Linked DNA regions of Notamacropus eugenii. The protein of the gene in region 1 purifies or fractionates together with the protein of each later gene. This does not show direct contact. Links are inferred from orthologs where the notes say so. Each region holds a gene or a part of one and is shown in the gene's direction. Other genes may lie near its edges.

Region 1 (9,500 bases):
TGAATTATTTTAAGGAATTTCCTCACCTAGGTGCTCCCTATCTATATTAATGAAATTGTGAGTCTGGTTCACAATGCAAGATAGCATTGTTTCCGTTTTTAATCTTTTCCATTAAACTATGCTTTGCTAGTTTCATAGCTTAAACTATTTTTAGCAAGGTTGTTATTTTCTTTACTATATTCCTAATGGCTAAGTACAGTGTTAAAAAATAAGAAAAATATATCTTCCTTGCAAATAGATATAGATAAAAATTGATCCTTGTGGAGTTACTCCTTCCCCACCCCTACACCATCCTGAGTACAGTAAAAAAAAAAAAAACTAAACTAAAAAATTAAACAAACAAAAAACCCTGTCCTCTTCCTTCTCTCTTTTAATAGAGAATCAGAATATAATTTTAAATGTGTACAGAGAATTAATTCATACCTAATTTGGAGTTATAGCAAAAAGAAAACTGTCCTAAAATTTCATAGCCTTTCAATAAGAATAAAAATTTAAATTTTGACAGCAAAAGTGGTATTAATAAGGATGATGGGCTATTGTTATCCATATAAAATAAAATGGAAAATGGGCAATGGCACAAAGGAAAACACAAACATGAAGTATCTTTGCAAATGTGTCTCTCTGAGACATCCTGACTTAAAACACAAAACTGAAGTGGATATAAAATACTAAGGAGTAGAAATATCAGTCCATGTATCAGTTTTGTACAGCTGTCAACAAGGTATAAACATATGACAACTCATCTTACGTGAATCGGTTATCTAAAACATGTAAACCAAACAATGCAAGATAAAGGAGATTCTTCAAATTTCTTGCCCCACCCCTATGAAGAAAAATTTTATCCTCAATAAAATAATACAACTTGAAAGAGACTGTAAAAGTACATGTCTCATGGACACTATAACTAAGAAATTTTAAAAAAAAACCTCTCTTAGAGAGCATCGGACCTCCTTATCTGACTATGCAAGAGAAGTATATATGGCAAACTGCCTGCTTCCTTCATGCTCAGGAGAGACACATTTCAGTCCCTGTAGTTAGCAAGCCCAATCACTTTCTAACATGGTTCTCCAGTTACAGACTCCAGTAATAATCTTAAGAATTGTCAAAAGCAGAATACCAGTTAACAATCTTCTTACAATGAGTGGCTGACTCACAGAAGAAAAATGTGTTATTTTTTTAAAAATTAGAATGCCATAGTCAGCATTATTCTTTATATACAAGTGACTGTATCAACATACAGAAGGAATAAGGGAGTAAGGGGAAAAATAAATCTTTGAAATATGGCTGAAGAGATGGGGTGATGTAAGCTGAGTTATACAGATTGAATAGGTGATAAAACACAAAAGGACCCTAAAAATTCAAATGCCTCTTCCATCTTTCTCTTCTCTATCTACTACCAAAGAAGTCTAATTCCTTTTGTAACCTCCGTGTGAGCCTTACTCCCATTCAGACGCTTCTTTGAAATCTTAACATGCAAATTCAGCTCCAACTTTTAACTTCTGCTTGATAGTGGGGAGGAAGGGGGATGCGGAATATCCACTGGTTATGTGTCAAAATTCAAAACAAGGCATCATAAGAGGATCTTTTGAAGAGAAGGGAGATTTAGCTAGGGGTATACCTTAATCCATCACTAATTCTAGGGCAGATGAGTGATGTAGACGTATGAAATATCAAGTTATTAAAGTTAAGATTTAAAAGAAAGAACAACAGGTTTTTCCCATGTTCTGTGCAGAAACAATATAGTTATAGTCTTCATGCTGTCCTCATTTCCTCTTCTCCTCCTTTCCATGATTTCTCAGGGTGTTTCTCAGTAGTTAGCTAACTGTTAAATCTGATCCTGAGTTACCTGCTGTCAGGCAGTCCTCGTACTGTGACCTCATTTACCTCCCTAGGAGTCGAGTTAAAATTAATGTCAAAGAATGTAAATTCCAGGATGGAAAAAGGAAGAGGATAAAAGTATGAGGATGACATTTAAAATAAAAGAATAAGGAGTACTGCAAACATTTCTCCATAAAATGAAGTATGTGATTTACCTTCTCTGCACCTTGGGAATGGACTCCCTGAGGAAGGAATGAGTTCTTTATTACTAGAGCTCTTTCAATGGAAAATAGGTGACCCTTCATTTGGAATAGGGTAGAGGGGATTCCTAGCTAGGGACCAATTGAACCAGATTACATTTCTCTGGAGTTCTCCCAATGTAGAAGAGATGACCATTCATCTGGATAGCATAGAGAGGATTCCTACTCAGGGACAAGTTAAAACAAAAGGTCTCTTAGTATTTGAGTCATAATGAGGTTAAATTCTTAGGATCACAGATTCAGAGCTAGCAGGGACCTTAGAGATCCTCTAGTCTCTCTCCTTTTTCAGAGGAAGAAACTAAAGCTCCGAGAGGTAAAGGGACTTGCCCAACACCACACAGGTTTAATGACAGAACTGAGATTTGAATCCTACTTCTCTAATACCAAATCTAATATTCATACCACGTTGCTTCCCAAACTCCAATGTTTCTTCCAACTGATATTGAGGAATTATATTATTCTATTTCAGTGCAATGGAAGTGATCACATTTGCCATTAGAACATATGTGACTACTTTTAGAAAACTTTTCAAGACCTGAAGACTAATTTAATCTTTTAAATAATGGTAGCAATAAAAAAACAGTAGGAGATCATCACAACCCAGACTAACATAGTTTTATTTTTTTTTATAAAGCCACCTTTTCTGAGTTAGTTTTATTACCATTAGAGAGAAGTCAGAGACATAATTAATTTTTACATTATTTTGAGTAAAGTTAAGGAAGAGCACTTCATTTTTATAATCATCATTTTGTAGGTAAATAAAGTGAATGCTTATGTTATTGAGAAAGAGTGAGTATTTATCTACAAAATGTTTCTGACTGAGAAACATTAGAATTTCCTTCAAGAAAAATGAGTGGTCAAATGTCACAAAGCAGTAAGAAACCACAATGTCCTGTTACTAATAATTAAGAAAGTGTGTAAGTCTCACAAGAGAAAGTTGTAAGGTTTTGGTATCATATAAAAACTATATAGCCTTTAACTCTTATTTTTATTCATCAGATATCTTGAAGGAATAATGCTCTGATGAACTAAAATTGTTTCAATTCATAATTTATTAAACTGTTCTTCAGAATGTGGAAGGTAGATTTAACAAAACAATTGAATTACTTGGTAGGTGCTGCCATTTTTCAAGTATCAAGAAAAGATTCTGAAGGGTACAAACCTCATTTAAATTTTAAGAAGGACCATGTTTTTAGGTTTCCTGAAGAAATGACAACAATGTATATTAGAAGTATAGATGTTAGATATTCTGGATACATGCATATATATTTCTTCCAACATTAATTGGTCCACATTGAAAACATTAAAAATGCTTAATTTTTGAAAGGTGATTAAAATGTACACTTTTACAGAAGGGACCTATATTAGAGAATACTTTAGCCACAGCAACCACCTTTTCTGGCTTAGCATGGTTTTTCCTCATGTAAATAATGCTTATGTAATTGTAGCCATAAAAATAATCTAGCACATTGTACTGTTTTTGGTTTAGCTCAAAAATGCACTATTTTAAAGATGATACAGTATGCTCGAAAACAGGTATTATAGACAAAGTCTTCGGTGATCCCAATGCTGTTCTCTCACTTCTGAATTATTTTGTTTTTTCTCCCTTATGATACTAGTACATGGGAGTTCTGATTACAAATATTTATTGTAGGAGTAAAAAAGTAGTTTATTTACAAAGCAAATTAAATGTACTTTTTGGAGTTAGTTTCTTAGTTGAAAAAGAATACTGAATGAAGGGTAGGTATATGTCTAGTATCCTATCTTCAAACAGGTTAATTTGATTTTGACTGAAAGGATATATGTAAAGACAGAATGAGTGCCTTACCTACACATAATAAGAGTAATAGGTGCACATAGTAAGACTTGCACATAGTAGGAGCTTAATGAATACTGTTTTTTAAAAAAATATTTTAAAAATATTTTTATTTTATTTTACTTTAAAATGTTGCATTTGAACTGTCACAGTCAGTACATGGATGAGTGATATTTTTGACTGAGCTCATGAAAATGTAGTTAAATATTTTCAGTTGTACAAAATAAATGAACTTTTTTTGTGTGTATGTGAGTATTGTTTAGAAAAACACTGCCTCTGGGTCAGCTGTGCACAGATTCCTTGGACAGGTCTTTAAAGGAAAGAAGTATTTTGTTACAAGCCAAGAAAGGAAAGCAATGTGAGATTTCTAAATGCTATTGAAGATCGTTTAAAAATGCAAAAGGCTCTCGGATCTGTTTGATGTGGAGAAGTTGACTGGACTTGTTCAGGAAGAACATTCAAAATGCTTTGTGCATTAATTTATGTCTTATTTCTCTTAAAGTATGCCAAAAATCATTTGGGGGCAGGCACAAGTACAGCAATGCATTTCATTCTCTTTTTTTACTTTCAATGATAAATGTTTTTTACTTTACAATATGCCGTTTCTGTCCTACAGTTACACTTATTGAGTGAATTACTGCCAAATTCAGTCAATAGTTACTGGTCCATGTTTGTTTAAAGCAAAAGTTTAAAAAAGCTGAAAAGTCTTTTAACTTTTTTCACTGGCTATTAGTCAGTTTTATGTTATATTACAGTATCACTAGTCATTTTTCATTAATCAGTGGCGTAGGGCTTATTCTTACAAATAAGCTAGTAAAATAATACGGAAAAATGACTGAAATTCTAATTCAAATTAAAATCTTCTAAACTAAAAAAAAAAAATTCCTCTAAATATGTTTTTCTAGGAAAGCAAATACAGCCAACCCCAAATCTAGTATCACTGCTGAAGACATTGCAAGAGGTATTTTAAAATACAGAAGATACATAAAAGTACAAAAGCAATTTGAGGACTTTTTATTATGCAAACGAAACATGAATTAAAAGCGTATAAATTTCTAGGATGTGATCATAATGACATAATTAGAAAGGAATTTTTAATTTGTTCTAAACTGAAACTCTAAGAGAAATCCTTACAGTGTTAGAGAGTTGGAAAATTATTACTTAGGAAGAAGAACTTTTAAAAATGTTTTCAGGAAAGAAAGCCAGTTAGCAATCCATCAGCTCTTAAATATATTATTCCTGTCAGCATATTCATTTGGTTTTGTTAGCAGATTGAATATGCATCATGTTCAATATACTTAAAATGCAACAACTATGCAAATTAGCATGGCCCCACACATTCAGGATCTGAAAGAAATCAGTCCCAGCATAAATGAAATTACTCTGTGGACAAGTAGGAATGCAATGAAAAATTGAAAATCCAGCCCACATACTTAGGGCACCTTTCCCCCAGTAGAGTTATTTCACAATAAGACTACCATGTGATTTTCATTTTTCTCTCTTTCACATTTTCTGGCATGAGGTTGAGGAGAGAGGGTGAAGGTGGGAATGACATGACACAGTGGATTGAGTCTGGGCATGGGCCTGGAATCAGGAAGACCTGGGTTCAAATTTGGCCTCAGAAAACTTCCTAGCTGCATGATCCTGGGTAAGTTACTTAACTTCTGTTTGTTTCAGTTTCCTCCATTATAAAATGGGAATAATAACAGTACCTATCTTGCAGGATTGTTATAAGGATCAGATGAGATAACTGCAAAAAGAATTTAGCACAGTACCTGGCACAGAGTAGATGCTATATAAATGCTTTTTTCCTGCCCCTTCTTCATCCTTATGATTTGAAATCAGAGAAAAGTGGTATGACTGGGGGCAGGTACAGGGGAGTACAGAGAAACGAATGATGGGGAGATACTTGAGGAAAGAGAAGGAGAAACTGTGGAGACACAGGGCAGCCAGAACGCTCCTTTTGGATTGAGATGAATGTTGAAGTTTGTGGTTTTTTTTAAAAAAATTGATTGCTATGTATTAGATACTTTTATGAAATCAAGCATTAAGATCCCCTATACACCAAGATGCTTGCTTCATGTGTAACCTTGGACAAATCTTTTAACCTCCCTGGGCCTCAGTTTATCTAGCTTTAAAATGAAATGGGTTGGATTTGAAGACTTCTAAGTTGATTTTCACAAATAAAATCCTTCAATACAAAAGCTTTCAGCTTAAGAGCTGGAAGATTTGTGTGATCTGCTACCAGCGAGATATTAAGAGTAAAAGGCATGGTGGGTAAGATCAATGCTACACATATATTAGGGGTCATATCAGATGATTGGAGAAAATCGGCCACTCAGTCAAAACTTGGTAAAAAGAATAGCTTGCTAAAATATACATTAATAGGATCTCAGATTCTAAAGTTCATCCTCCGCATTTGTAGATAAGAATGCTAAATCCCAGAGAAGTGGCTTACTCAAAACTGCACAGCTCTTGGTCAGTTCTCCTGAATTTCTGCTCAGTGCTATTTCCATGACAGCACAGTTATTTTTATATGTATGGGCTGGTTTGGGGCTCCTTATTCCCTTCCCTGTGGCTCTTTGGCTGTTTCATAGCTCTAATTTCACCCAAGGGTGAAGAAAAGCAGGAGAAAAAAGGGATGCTCTCCAAGGCAATCTATTGTGCTGTGCTTGCCGTTTCAGCAAAAGGTTATGGTTAGGAGAAAAGTTGAATCTGTTGGCTAAAATGAGGTACTGGAAATGATCTGTGGATTTTAATTATTCATGCATTCCTCATTCCCCTGTTGCCATGACTAATCTGAAGTTTGTGGTAAGCTGTCCTGGCTGGGTCACGTGAGAATGGACGCAGCAGAAAACTTGAACATCTGCTTGAAAGTGAACTGAAGGAAGGCTCTTGTGAACAGGGTGGACAGACAAAGTATTTCAAGAAAGCATAGCCTGAAGCGATATCATTACACTGTGAACAGCTGGGATGCAACTGGAGGCCAGAGGACAAGCTGCCATGCTTCCATCTGACATGGAGGTGGAGCTTCCTCAATTATCTTAGCTGCTATCATATTGGATACTTATTAGGTGCATGTCTCTGTGTCCACTCCTTAGAAGAATTCAGTGGAACACCGAAGTGGTGAGGAGCCTACCTTCTGAGAACTTCTAGTCCTTTACTGTTTTCATGCAAAGCAAAGTGCTAAAAGGAAGAATTAAAAAAAAAAAACTGGGCTAAAATTTGCACTACTTTGGGTTGAGGTGACGAGGGATCAGTGGGTCTGACATCAATTTGCCAATGCTGATAAGAACGTGTTTCTGATACCATGGGAAGTGATATCATTAATGTGTGGTCTAAAGTCCTACCAGGACTCAAATGAAAATCTGGAGGCCAGCTAAACATGAAAAACTAAATGGATAAGAATATAAATATCTAAACCTAGATTTGGCAGGTAGTAAAAGAACTTTGTCCACCCTTTTGCTTCTGCTATAATAGGGAGGAGTCAGTGATATTGCTGGACAATTTTCGAATTAAGTGATCTAAATCAATAAAGATGTCCAGCAGTCGCATGAGTGGTTAACATGCATCAGAGGCTATATGCTTGTTTCTGAAATGAATTAATACTGACATTGGAAATTCCTAATTCCAACAACTAACTGGTGAAGTGCATAGATAAGAATGTTGGCCTTGGAGTCAGGAAGTACTGAATTCAAATCCTGACTCAAACGCTTAGTAGCTGTGACATCCCTTCCTCACATTCCCTCTCTACCTCCTCAACTCACATCTTTCTTAACCTCTGTTTATTCATTTATAAACTGAGGATAAAAATAGTATCTACCTTGTAGGGCTGTTGTGAGGTTCAAATGATGTAATATTGTACGGTGCTTTGCAAATCTTAAAGCACCATACAAATATGACCTATTATTTATTATTATTATTTCCCAACTGAAAGTACTCAGGACAAGTACTTTTTGTATTTTTTTAGTAGCAAGAAGAAAAATAGTTTATAGAGTCTTTGTTACTGGTTGAGATCCACCATTTTAGTGGGATCCCAAGTGGGAAGAAGCAATACTTGACATTTATGAAAATACTTTACTATACCATTGCATTTAATCTAACTGCCTGGTACATAATAGGTAGTTAACTTTTTGTTGATTGATGGATTAAAAGGAGCTGGGACTGTCTCAAGCAGGCAATAAGAAGCCCCTAAAGATTTTTGAGTGGTAAAGTAACATTAATAGACCCAAGCAAAAAAAAAAAATTAGTCTGGTAACAATATAAATGATAGAATGGAAAAAGTCTTGGGAGTTTTGGAAGACAAGGAGCCAATGAAGGATAGAGAAAAGGAGTTAGCAAAGTAGGAGAAAAATCTAGAAAATATGTAGTCTGTGAAGCCAAGGGATTAGAGAAAATCCAGTAGGAGGGAGTAGTCATCAGTGACAAGTGCTGCTGAGACAGGTGAGGACTGGAAAAAGTCAGCTGGTTATTAGGTGGTCATTCTTAAACTTTTGGGGGATCACTTCAGCAGAGTTACAAGGAATAATCAGTAAGTCTGAATAAGCATTAATTACACAAACAGTGATAGGCAATGTGCTAAGCTCTGAGGATACCTAGAAGACATTCAACACGGTTCCTGCATTCATGGAGCTTATATTCTAATAGGGGAACTAATATGGAAATAACTGTATAAACAAGAAATATTAAGAAGAAATGGAAGGTTATCTCACAATGAAGGCCTGGGGTTGTTTAGGAGATTGAGGAAGAAAAGGGAGGTGAAGGCCTCCTGCAGGAGATGGGATTTGAGCTGAATCCTGAAAGAAGCAAGGGAAGCTAGGAGCTGGAGGTGAGGTTGGAGAGCACCCAAGGCATAGGGGAAATAGTGAAAAGGTAAGGAGGAGATAAAGTACTCTCTGTGAGAATCCAGTGTTGCTGAATGGTAGAGTGTATAGAGGAAGGTAAAAACATGTGAAGTCCGGAAGGGCAGGAAGGGGTTAGATTTTGAAGGACTTTCATCCTGGTGGAAGTCAGATTGCAAGAAGTTAAGGAGAGAATAAGGGTTGGGATAGGAATGATGTAAGAGCATATGATATAGGCAAATTTCTTCGTTAAGTTTAGTAGTAAAGGAAAGAGATTTTTCATTGGCAACTAAATGAGGTGAAAGGATCAAGGAATTTTTTTTTCAGATTAAAGAGACCTGAGAAAATTTGCAATTTTCTCTTTTTAAGTGAATAATGATTTATTTTTATCATTTCCAATCTTTGCTCTTTTTGTTTGTGGTGTTCTACTAAATAAATATCTTTATAAGGTTTTATTTCATTTTTTATTTCTTTCCTCTTCCTTTTTATTTCTAGCCTACAGTAAGAATTTTCCAAAGATTTGTTTCCATTTGAAGAATGTTTTTACACTTTTAGATTTGGATTTAGAAAATGTAAAATTTTCTTAAAATTTAATTTATTTGTTTTCAATTTTCAACAATCACTTCCATAAGTCTTAAATTTTCTCCTCCTCCCTTTTCCCCTTCCTCCCCAAGATGGCATACAATCTTATATGGGTTATACATATACATTCTTATTAAACACAGAAAATGTAAAATTTTTTTTTGCATGTGGTAATTTATCATT
Region 2 (8,498 bases), on another chromosome or scaffold:
GCTGGAGAAAAAGAGCAACAAAACAAAAAAAATAATTTGACTATAAAAAACTACTACAGTGGCAGAGAAGACCAACATACCATCTCAGAAGAATACAACAGCTACAATGCTGTAATAAGTTCTGAAAACATTAAAGAGATACAAGCAGAAGAGGAAAAATTGGGGGAAAAATGAGAATGATGCAAGAAAATTATGAAGAGAATGTAATTTAATTACACCTTGGTAAAAGAAGCACAAAAAATACTGAAGATAACTTTAAAAAACAGAAGTGGACTAAGGGTAAAAGAAGCACAAAAATTCACTGAAGAAAAGAACTCCTTAAAAAGCATAATTTGCTAAATGGAAAAAAAAAAAGCTTACTGAAGAAAATCATTCCTTAGAAATTAGAATTGAGCAAGTGGAAGCTAAGGACTACATAAAACATCGAGAAACAAAGTCAAAAGAATGGGGGAAAAATAGAATATAAACTCTCTCACTGGAAAAATAACTGACCTGGAAAGTAGATTGAGGAGAAATAATTTAAGAATTATTAGACTACCTGAAAGCCATCACCAAAAAAAGGGATCTAGACATCAAATTTCAAAAAATTATTAAGGAAATATGTGCTAATATCTTAGCTCCACCAGGCAATTAGAAACTGAAAGAATCTACCTACCAATTACCTCCTGAAAGAAACCAAAATGAAAACTCCCACGCATAGTATAGCCAACTTTCTGAGATGCCAGGACAAAGAGAAAATACTTCAACCAGCTTGAAAGAAGCCACTGAAATACTATGTAGACAGGATCACACAAGATTTAGCAGCCTCCATGTTAAAGAGGAGGGCTTGGAATATGCTCTGGAAGGCAAAGGAACTAGGATTACAACCAAGAATAACCTACCCAGCAAAACTAAGTATAATCCTTCCAGGGGAAAAAGAATGCTTGAAAATTCCTGATGAAAATAATCGGGATAAATAGAAAATCTGACATTCAAACACAAGACTCAAGAGGAGAATAAAATGATAAACATTAATAAGCAATCACAAAAGACACAAAAGTTTACATTGCTATATGGGAAGGTGATACACATAACTCTTAAGAACTTTATCATTATTAGGGTAGTTAAAATCTATAGAGGTCATAAGTCTAAATCCAATACAACATTGAGATGATTAAAAAAAGAGGGTGGGTGGTAGTGAGAAACGGGGATACAGTAGGAGGAGGACAGGAAAGGCAGAATGTGAAATTTTTCTCACATAAAAGGGCACTTTTTGGATGCTTTCTCCTTTCCTTTTCTGTGACACTACTTTCTCCTGGTTCTCCTCTGTGTATAAAAGCTCCTTCTCATTCTCTTACTAATTAATCATCCAAATTATGCCTCTCAACTGTGGGTCTCCTACACCTTTCTTTTCTCTCTAAACATTCTTTTTTGGTTACCTCTACAGCTCTCAAAGGTTTAACTATCAAATCTATACTGATGATTTGGAAGACACAGAGATCCAGCTCAATTGTCTCCTTGGAGCTTCAACTTCACATGACCAGATGCCTATGGACAACCTGAGATACCTCAAACTCAACATGTCTAAAACAGAACTCATTATTCTGTCCCTGAATCAACTCTTGCTTCTTCCAAACTTCCCCATATCTGCCAAAGGCACCATCATTCTTACAACTGTCCAGGTTCATAATCTTGGCCTTATCTTCATTTCCTCAGTAGCCACATAATGAATCAGTTGCCAAACCTGTTTCTCCTTCCACAACCTAGATCACACCTGATATGTTTTATCAGACCCTTTCTTGATACAGCAACCACCCAAGTTCAAGCCTAAATCACTTCTCACTTGATTACTTTGAAGGACTCCTTCCTAATTGATCATCCAGATTCAAATCTCTCCCCACTTTCAGTCCAGGCTACAATTCCCAGATTTTTTTTATAATGCCTCTTAGCCTATTCTTAAATTACAAGAGGAAGCTCAAAAGAAATTTCAGCTGAATTTAGTCCCAAAACTCAACTTACAAACCCAGCAAGGTAAAAAGAGAGGTACACAACAGGCATTAAAGAGCCAAAACAAAGTAAAACAGCAATTAGGTATACGGCCATTACCAATACAAAGGCATCTTAGCATTCTGGTAAGCTAGTATTTGGGGGGTGGGGGGGGAGGAGAAGGGGAGAACACTTTCTATTTCTCAAAATTTGATCCCTTCCAGATGGTCATAAGGTAAAAATGAGGACCGGAAATTCCTTACATGAACTTAAAAACTACTTAAATTACCAAGCTCTGCCTCTTTTTAAAGGCTATCAGGAGCCCTTTGAATAGCCATTTTCCATAGAGTGAACACCAACAACCTTCTGCCTCAGCATTTCTTGATGACATCTCATCCAACACAATAACTACAAGAGGAGAATCAAAGGACTCTGGTCACAAACTAAGAAACTCACACTGAGATATTCCCATTTGAGGCCTCTGGTTTTTCCATTTGATGCTGTATTTTAACAAGTTGAAATATTATCTCAAGGAATGTCACAAGGAAGAACTTGTCTGGGAAAGCAGAGATCATAAAACCCTGGGCAAAGCCTTCATTTGACTTTCGAATTATTCTTCTCACAGCAGACTTTTTGAAAACATGACTATGAGCTTGTCTCATATCTCGATCAGCAAGCATCAATTTAAAGTGACAGAGTAGGATTAAGGGAGAGATTTCACCAGTATGCCTCAGGTATGAAGAGGGTCAGGCCAAGGCAGGATGAGCCAGGACTCCTGGGTTTCTACTTTAGGGCAGTACTGTCCAAAGTGATTTTTCTTAATCATAAATATGACTAATTCTTCCCTTCTAATTAACCTCCAGTGGTTTCCTGTTTTCTCTGGAATCAAATAAAAACTCCTCTTCTTGACTTTCAGTGCCCTCACAACCTGACCCCACGGTATCTTTCTAGGTTCACTGGACATTACTCCCTCCATTACTCTGAGATCCAGCAAACTGGCCTTCCCTGTTTCTCACAAACACTCCATTTTCCACCTCTGTCTTTCCTTCACTGTCCCCCAAGCCTGAAATGCAATCCAATCTCAACTCAGCTTCATAGAATCTCTTCCTTGAGGGTGCAATTCAAACCACCTTGTATTTATTCTGTTTTTTTGGAGTTTTTTTTATACTTGTACGTCATTGCTGTCTGCCCCTTATTAGGAGCAGCTCCTTGCTGCTTGCAAAAAGGGATTGCTTAATTAATTAATTATACTGATATGCCCAGTGCCCAGCCCATAGTGGTCATTTACTAGCTGCTGACTAATTGCTGCATATCAAGAGAAAGGCCACCACACCAAGTTGACTGCTTTCCTGTGGAATGCTTTTTGAGAAAGATGTGGATAAGAGTCCCAAAGAAAAGTAAGGCATGGATGGAAGATTCAAACTCCTTCAACAAATAGAAGAAAAAACTGAGTCCTAGGAAGGATTGAGTGACTCGCCCAAGGTCAAACATGTATCAAGTGGCAGAGTTAGTAACCAAATTCAAGTCCTGTGATTCTAAATTGGATTAGATGACTTCTGAAGCCCCTTCAAAATCTAAATCCAATCACTGCGGCAGAGGGTGGATTACCAGGTGGTGATTTCTGAGTGCCGGAAGCGGGGTGGGGGGGGTGGAAGCGGAGAGGGGGGTCAGAAGGAGGAAAGGATCACAGACGCTCATACCAATCAAAGTTTGGGGGGCTGCGCTTCAGTAAGAATCCACATCCATTAAAACATAATTCTTACTACTGAAGCAAAAGAAGGGGAGCACTTGTAAACACTAAGGCTGCTAGGACTGGGTTCAAGCCCTGGGGAGGACGATAAGATGCGTATCTTCTCCATCAGATTTTGCTTCAGGGCAAGGCAGGTTCTAGACTACGAAGTTCCGGCCCAGTCCTCCGCATTCAAAAGTACGCAGGAAGGAGGGGGAGGTAAAAGCACAAGACGGCAGAACTCATTTTTGGCTTTATCGCTCCAAGAAGAAATCTGGGCCGGGGCAGCCCAGGTCCGCGCCGGGGGCAGCCCAGGTCCGTGCCGGGGGCCAAGGGGCCCGAGGGACCGCTCCCAGGCGGGGCAGCCCGGGCTTCCCCGCCCCCACGGCCCCCAGGGCACTGCGGGGACGGACTTACAGCGTCATCCGAAAGCTCCACTTCACCTCCACCGCCTCCAGCCGCCCCCAGAAATACAGCTCATTGAACTGCACGAACAGCGCTCGGGGATCCGGGTTGGGGTCCACGAGCTCCCAAGCCTCGTCCACCAGCGACTTGGGCTCCTTCGGGGGCGAGACGAACGCCGGGACCTCCGTGTTCCATTCCTCCTGCAGCTTCAGGGCCAGCACAAAGTCCTCTTCCATCCCGGCCGGGAGAGCGGAAAGGAGCCCGGAGGGAGGAGCCGGAAAACACCGAAAGATGCAAACTCACAGTGCAGCCAGCTGGGCTCCTGCAGGCTGACGCCGGAGTTTTGAATCAGCGGGTCGGAAACGGAAGCTGATCTCGCGAGAACCACAAACCATCAACTTCCGGTATCTCCGGGAAGGCCTGAGTCGTCAGAGCCTTGACTACCGGAGGGAGTTTCCCAGTCGCCGCCTCCTGCTTTTCTTCCTCTCTTAGTCTTAAGTGTTTTTTTTTTTTTTTTTTGCACAGGCGCAGCAGTCAGGTGGCTTCATTTTCCTGACACCCCTTAAGCCCGCCCTCGGCGCGCATGCGTCGTGATTGGCAGCCAGCGCCGGCCGACTCCTTCCGCGCAGGCGCATTCACTTCGCTTCCGCCCGTCTCCCCCGGTCCCTGAACTCCGTCGGAGTTGGGTGGGTCTCGGCGGCCGCGGAGACCGTGACAGTGACTGGGGGAAGCGATGACCATGGCCATGTCAGACAGCGGGGCGAGCCGCCTGCGGCGGCAGCTGGAATCGAGCGGTTTCGAGGCGCGGCTGTACGTGAAGCAGCTGTCGCAGCAGTCGGACGGCGACCGGGACCTGCAGGAGCACCGGCAGCGGATCCAGGCGCTGGCCGAGGAAACGGCCCAGAATCTGAAGCGCAACGTGTACCAGAACTACCGGCAGTTCATCGAGACGGCGCGCGAGATCTCCTACCTGGAGAGCGAGATGTACCAGCTCAGCCACCTGCTGACGGAGCAGAAGAGCAGCCTCGAGAGCATCCCGCTCACCCTGCTCCCCGCCGCCGCGGCCGCCGCCGCCGCCGCGGGAGCCGCCGCCGGGGCCGAGGAGGGCGGCGCGGGCGGCCCGGGAGGCCGAGACCACCTGCGAGGCCCGGCCGGCTTCTTCGCGGGCCACGGGGGCGCCGCCCGGGACAGCCAGAGTGCGGGCGAGGAAGGCAAGCAGCGCACGCTGACCACCTTGCTGGAGAAAGTGGAGGGCTGCAGGGACATGCTGGAGACCCCCGGGCAGTACCTGGTCTACAACGGGGACCTGGTGGAGTATGAGGCGGACCACATGGCCCAGCTGCAGCGGGTGCACGGTTTTCTCATGAACGACTGCCTGCTGGTGGCCACCTGGCTGCCCCAGCGCCGGGGCATGTACCGCTACAACGCCCTCTACCCGCTGGACCGTCTGGCGGTGGTGAACGTCAAGGATAACCCGCCCATGAAGGACATGTTCAAGCTGCTGATGTTCCCCGAGAGCCGAATCTTTCAGGCGGAGAATGCCAAGATCAAAAGGGAGTGGCTGGAAGTGCTGGAGGAAACCAAGCGGGCCCTCGGCGAGAAAAGGCGAAGGGAACAGGAGGAGGCCGCCGCCCCGCGGGGCCCGCCCCACGTCTCTTCGCAGGCCACCAACCCATTTGAGGACGATGAAGAGGAGGAGGAGCCTACTTCTCCCGAGGTCGAGGAGAAAGTGGACTTATCGATGGAATGGATCCAGGAGTTGCCGGAGGACCTGGATGTTTGTATTGCCCAGAGGGACTTTGAAGGGGCGGTGGACTTGTTGGATAAGTTAAACCACTATCTGGAGGGCAAGCCGTGCCCACCTTCTGTAAAGGAGCTGAGGGCCAAAGTGGATGAGCGAGTCCGGCAACTCACTGAAGTGCTAGTCTTTGAACTTTCCCCCGATCGTTCTCTAAGAGGCGGTCCTAAGGCCACTCGAAGGGCAGTTTCTCAGTTAATACGACTTGGCCAGTGTACCAAGGCTTGTGAACTGTTTTTGAGAAATAGGGCAGCAGCTGTGCACACTGCCATCAGACAGCTGCGAATTGAAGGTGCCACTTTACTCTACATTCACAAGTTATGTCATGTATTCTTCACCAGCCTTCTTGAGACTGCTAGGGAGTTTGAAACTGATTTTGCAGGCACCAACAGTGGTTGCTACTCTGCCTTTATTGTTTGGGCCCGTTCAGCCATGGGCATGTTTGTGGATGCTTTTAGCAAGCAGGTATTTGACAGCAAGGAGAGCTTGTCTACAGCAGCCGAGTGTGTAAAGGTGGCTAAGGAACATTGCCAGCAGTTGGGTGATATTGGGTTAGACCTTACTTTCATCATCCATGCACTCCTGGTGAAGGATATCCAAGGAGCTTTGCACAGTTATAAAGAAATCATAATTGAGGCCACCAAGCACCGAAACTCTGAGGAAATGTGGAGGAGGATGAACCTGATGACTCCAGAGGCCTTGGGGAAACTCAAAGAGGAGATGAAAAGCTGTGGGGTGAGCAATTTTGAACAGTACACAGGGGATGACTGCTGGGTGAACCTAAGCTACACAGTAGTGGCCTTCACTAAACAAACTATGGGCTTCTTGGAAGAAGCTCTGAAATTGTATTTTCCAGAGCTGCATATGGTGCTTCTAGAGAGTCTTGTGGAAATAATATTGGTTGCAGTTCAACATGTGGATTACAGTCTCCGATGTGAACAGGACCCAGAAAAGAAAGCCTTTATCAGACAGAATGCATCCTTTCTATATGAAACAGTCCTCCCTGTGGTGGAAAAAAGGTTTGAGCAAGGTGTAGGAAAACCTGCCAAGCAACTCCAAGACTTGAGGAATGCATCTAGACTTATTCGAGTAAATCCTGAAAGTACAACCTCAGTGGTCTGATACACAGCACTTGTATTTTTTTTTTCCAGAGAGGTCTGTTTGTCTATATACAGCATTACTAGTATATTATTTATATAACACATTAAAATCTTCTTTATATCCCAGAACATAGTTTAAAAAAATAAAAGTAAAAAAGGTCATCTCTTATGTAGCAGTTCAAGATGAGAATGTGAAGAATGAAAAAATGGTTAAATTTTATCAAAGGAGTAAAAATCCATTAAGATAATTTGATTTCATCTAATATATTCTTTAATTACCCCTATTCCTTATACCTTGTTGGTCATACCACAGTACTATGCTTCATGATCCTAGGGGCCAAATCACATTTGTTGTATTATTTGTGGTATTTATGCAGCACAGAGAAATATATCTATAATTACATGCAAATCAAACATGTCAACACTTTGTTTCCAAGTTCTGTAAGTCACTGGACTACCAGAAGAATTTTCTGTTTATCTTCAAAGGTATAGTGCCATATAATTAACCCAATTTGCTTCCCTTTAAAAAAAAATGTTATTCAGCAGCATAGTCAAAAAATATTAGCAAACTTAACCTTAGGGTAAATTTCAGACAAAAATGTTCAAGAAGACAGTTTATTTTGTTGAAACTGAGACTATGCCAGTCACTTTAGTGTATTAGAAAGAAACGAGTTAATAAAAATAAATTGTGCAATTAATTTTGTTAGCACAATTGGAATAAACTTAATTACATTTAGTTGGTTATTGTCCTTTAAAAATCTGCTTTGGAAACAAAATGCTTGGAAAACCAAAGTGCTGTGACAGTCATTTGTTTCTTGTTCTTGAATTTTAATTTCATTTTCTTTGTGACATATAACAGTGTGAGGAATATTTAACACCATTAACTGCTTGAGAGTTCCACTTTTGGATTATACACTGTCTCAGACTGCAGGTAGGGGAAAAAGTCCTTAATGAGGAGTCTAGCCTCTTAATCAGGAATCAGAAGAATGATTATAGAATGTTATTTCTCAAACACAAATGTATTCTACCACATTTTACTGGTATTAATTTCAAGAAAATTGCATTTGAATGTTGTAGAAACCGCTGGTAAGTCTTATTCTTGGTTCACCTTTAAAATGAATGTAATGCTTCAGCTTCATTAAATACGAAGTGCTTTTAAAGAATCTTGGGCTTCCCAAGACTATTTCGACTCACTGTTTCAGCTGTCTGATGGATAGATAATAGTCCTTACGCTCTGCCTCCTTTTGTAGCACTCCACCATGGTTGCACAGGACCATGGGCCATTAAAAATTTTTTTTTTGATTAATGAGTTTCTATGGCCAAATGTTTTGTCACCTTATAACCTGCATTCTGTCCTTAGATAACAGACTGGGGGACTAAATCTAGTAGGACCTTCCAGAGTGTATGCTTTGCTGGCTTAGCCTTTGAGAACCCAGGATGTTCCATGCCATGATGGGAGAGTATTGGAATACAGCAGCCTATTCTTTCCTTGGCTCCTAGT

The links.
Region 2: the proteins of EXOC2 (region 1) and EXOC8 purify together in Homo sapiens (affinity purification with mass spectrometry; 7 studies listed by BioGRID and IntAct, counting the BioPlex papers as one, with this or other methods). This does not show direct contact. The link is inferred for Notamacropus eugenii from reciprocal best matches to the Homo sapiens genes EXOC2 and EXOC8.

What each region holds. Positions count from the first base shown.
Region 1 is NC_092875.1:171,539,418-171,548,917, forward strand, and holds the start of EXOC2 (exocyst complex component 2), read left to right. Parts: upstream 1-5,461; 5' UTR 5,462-5,542; intron 5,543-9,500. UniProt on the Homo sapiens protein: Component of the exocyst complex involved in the docking of exocytic vesicles with fusion sites on the plasma membrane.
Region 2 is NC_092873.1:389,686,780-389,695,277, reverse strand, and holds the start of EXOC8 (exocyst complex component 8), read left to right. Parts: upstream 1-4,832; coding exon 4,833-7,019; 3' UTR 7,020-8,498. Other genes in the region: DNA-dependent metalloprotease SPRTN, read right to left, coding at 4,112-4,335. UniProt on the Homo sapiens protein: Component of the exocyst complex involved in the docking of exocytic vesicles with fusion sites on the plasma membrane.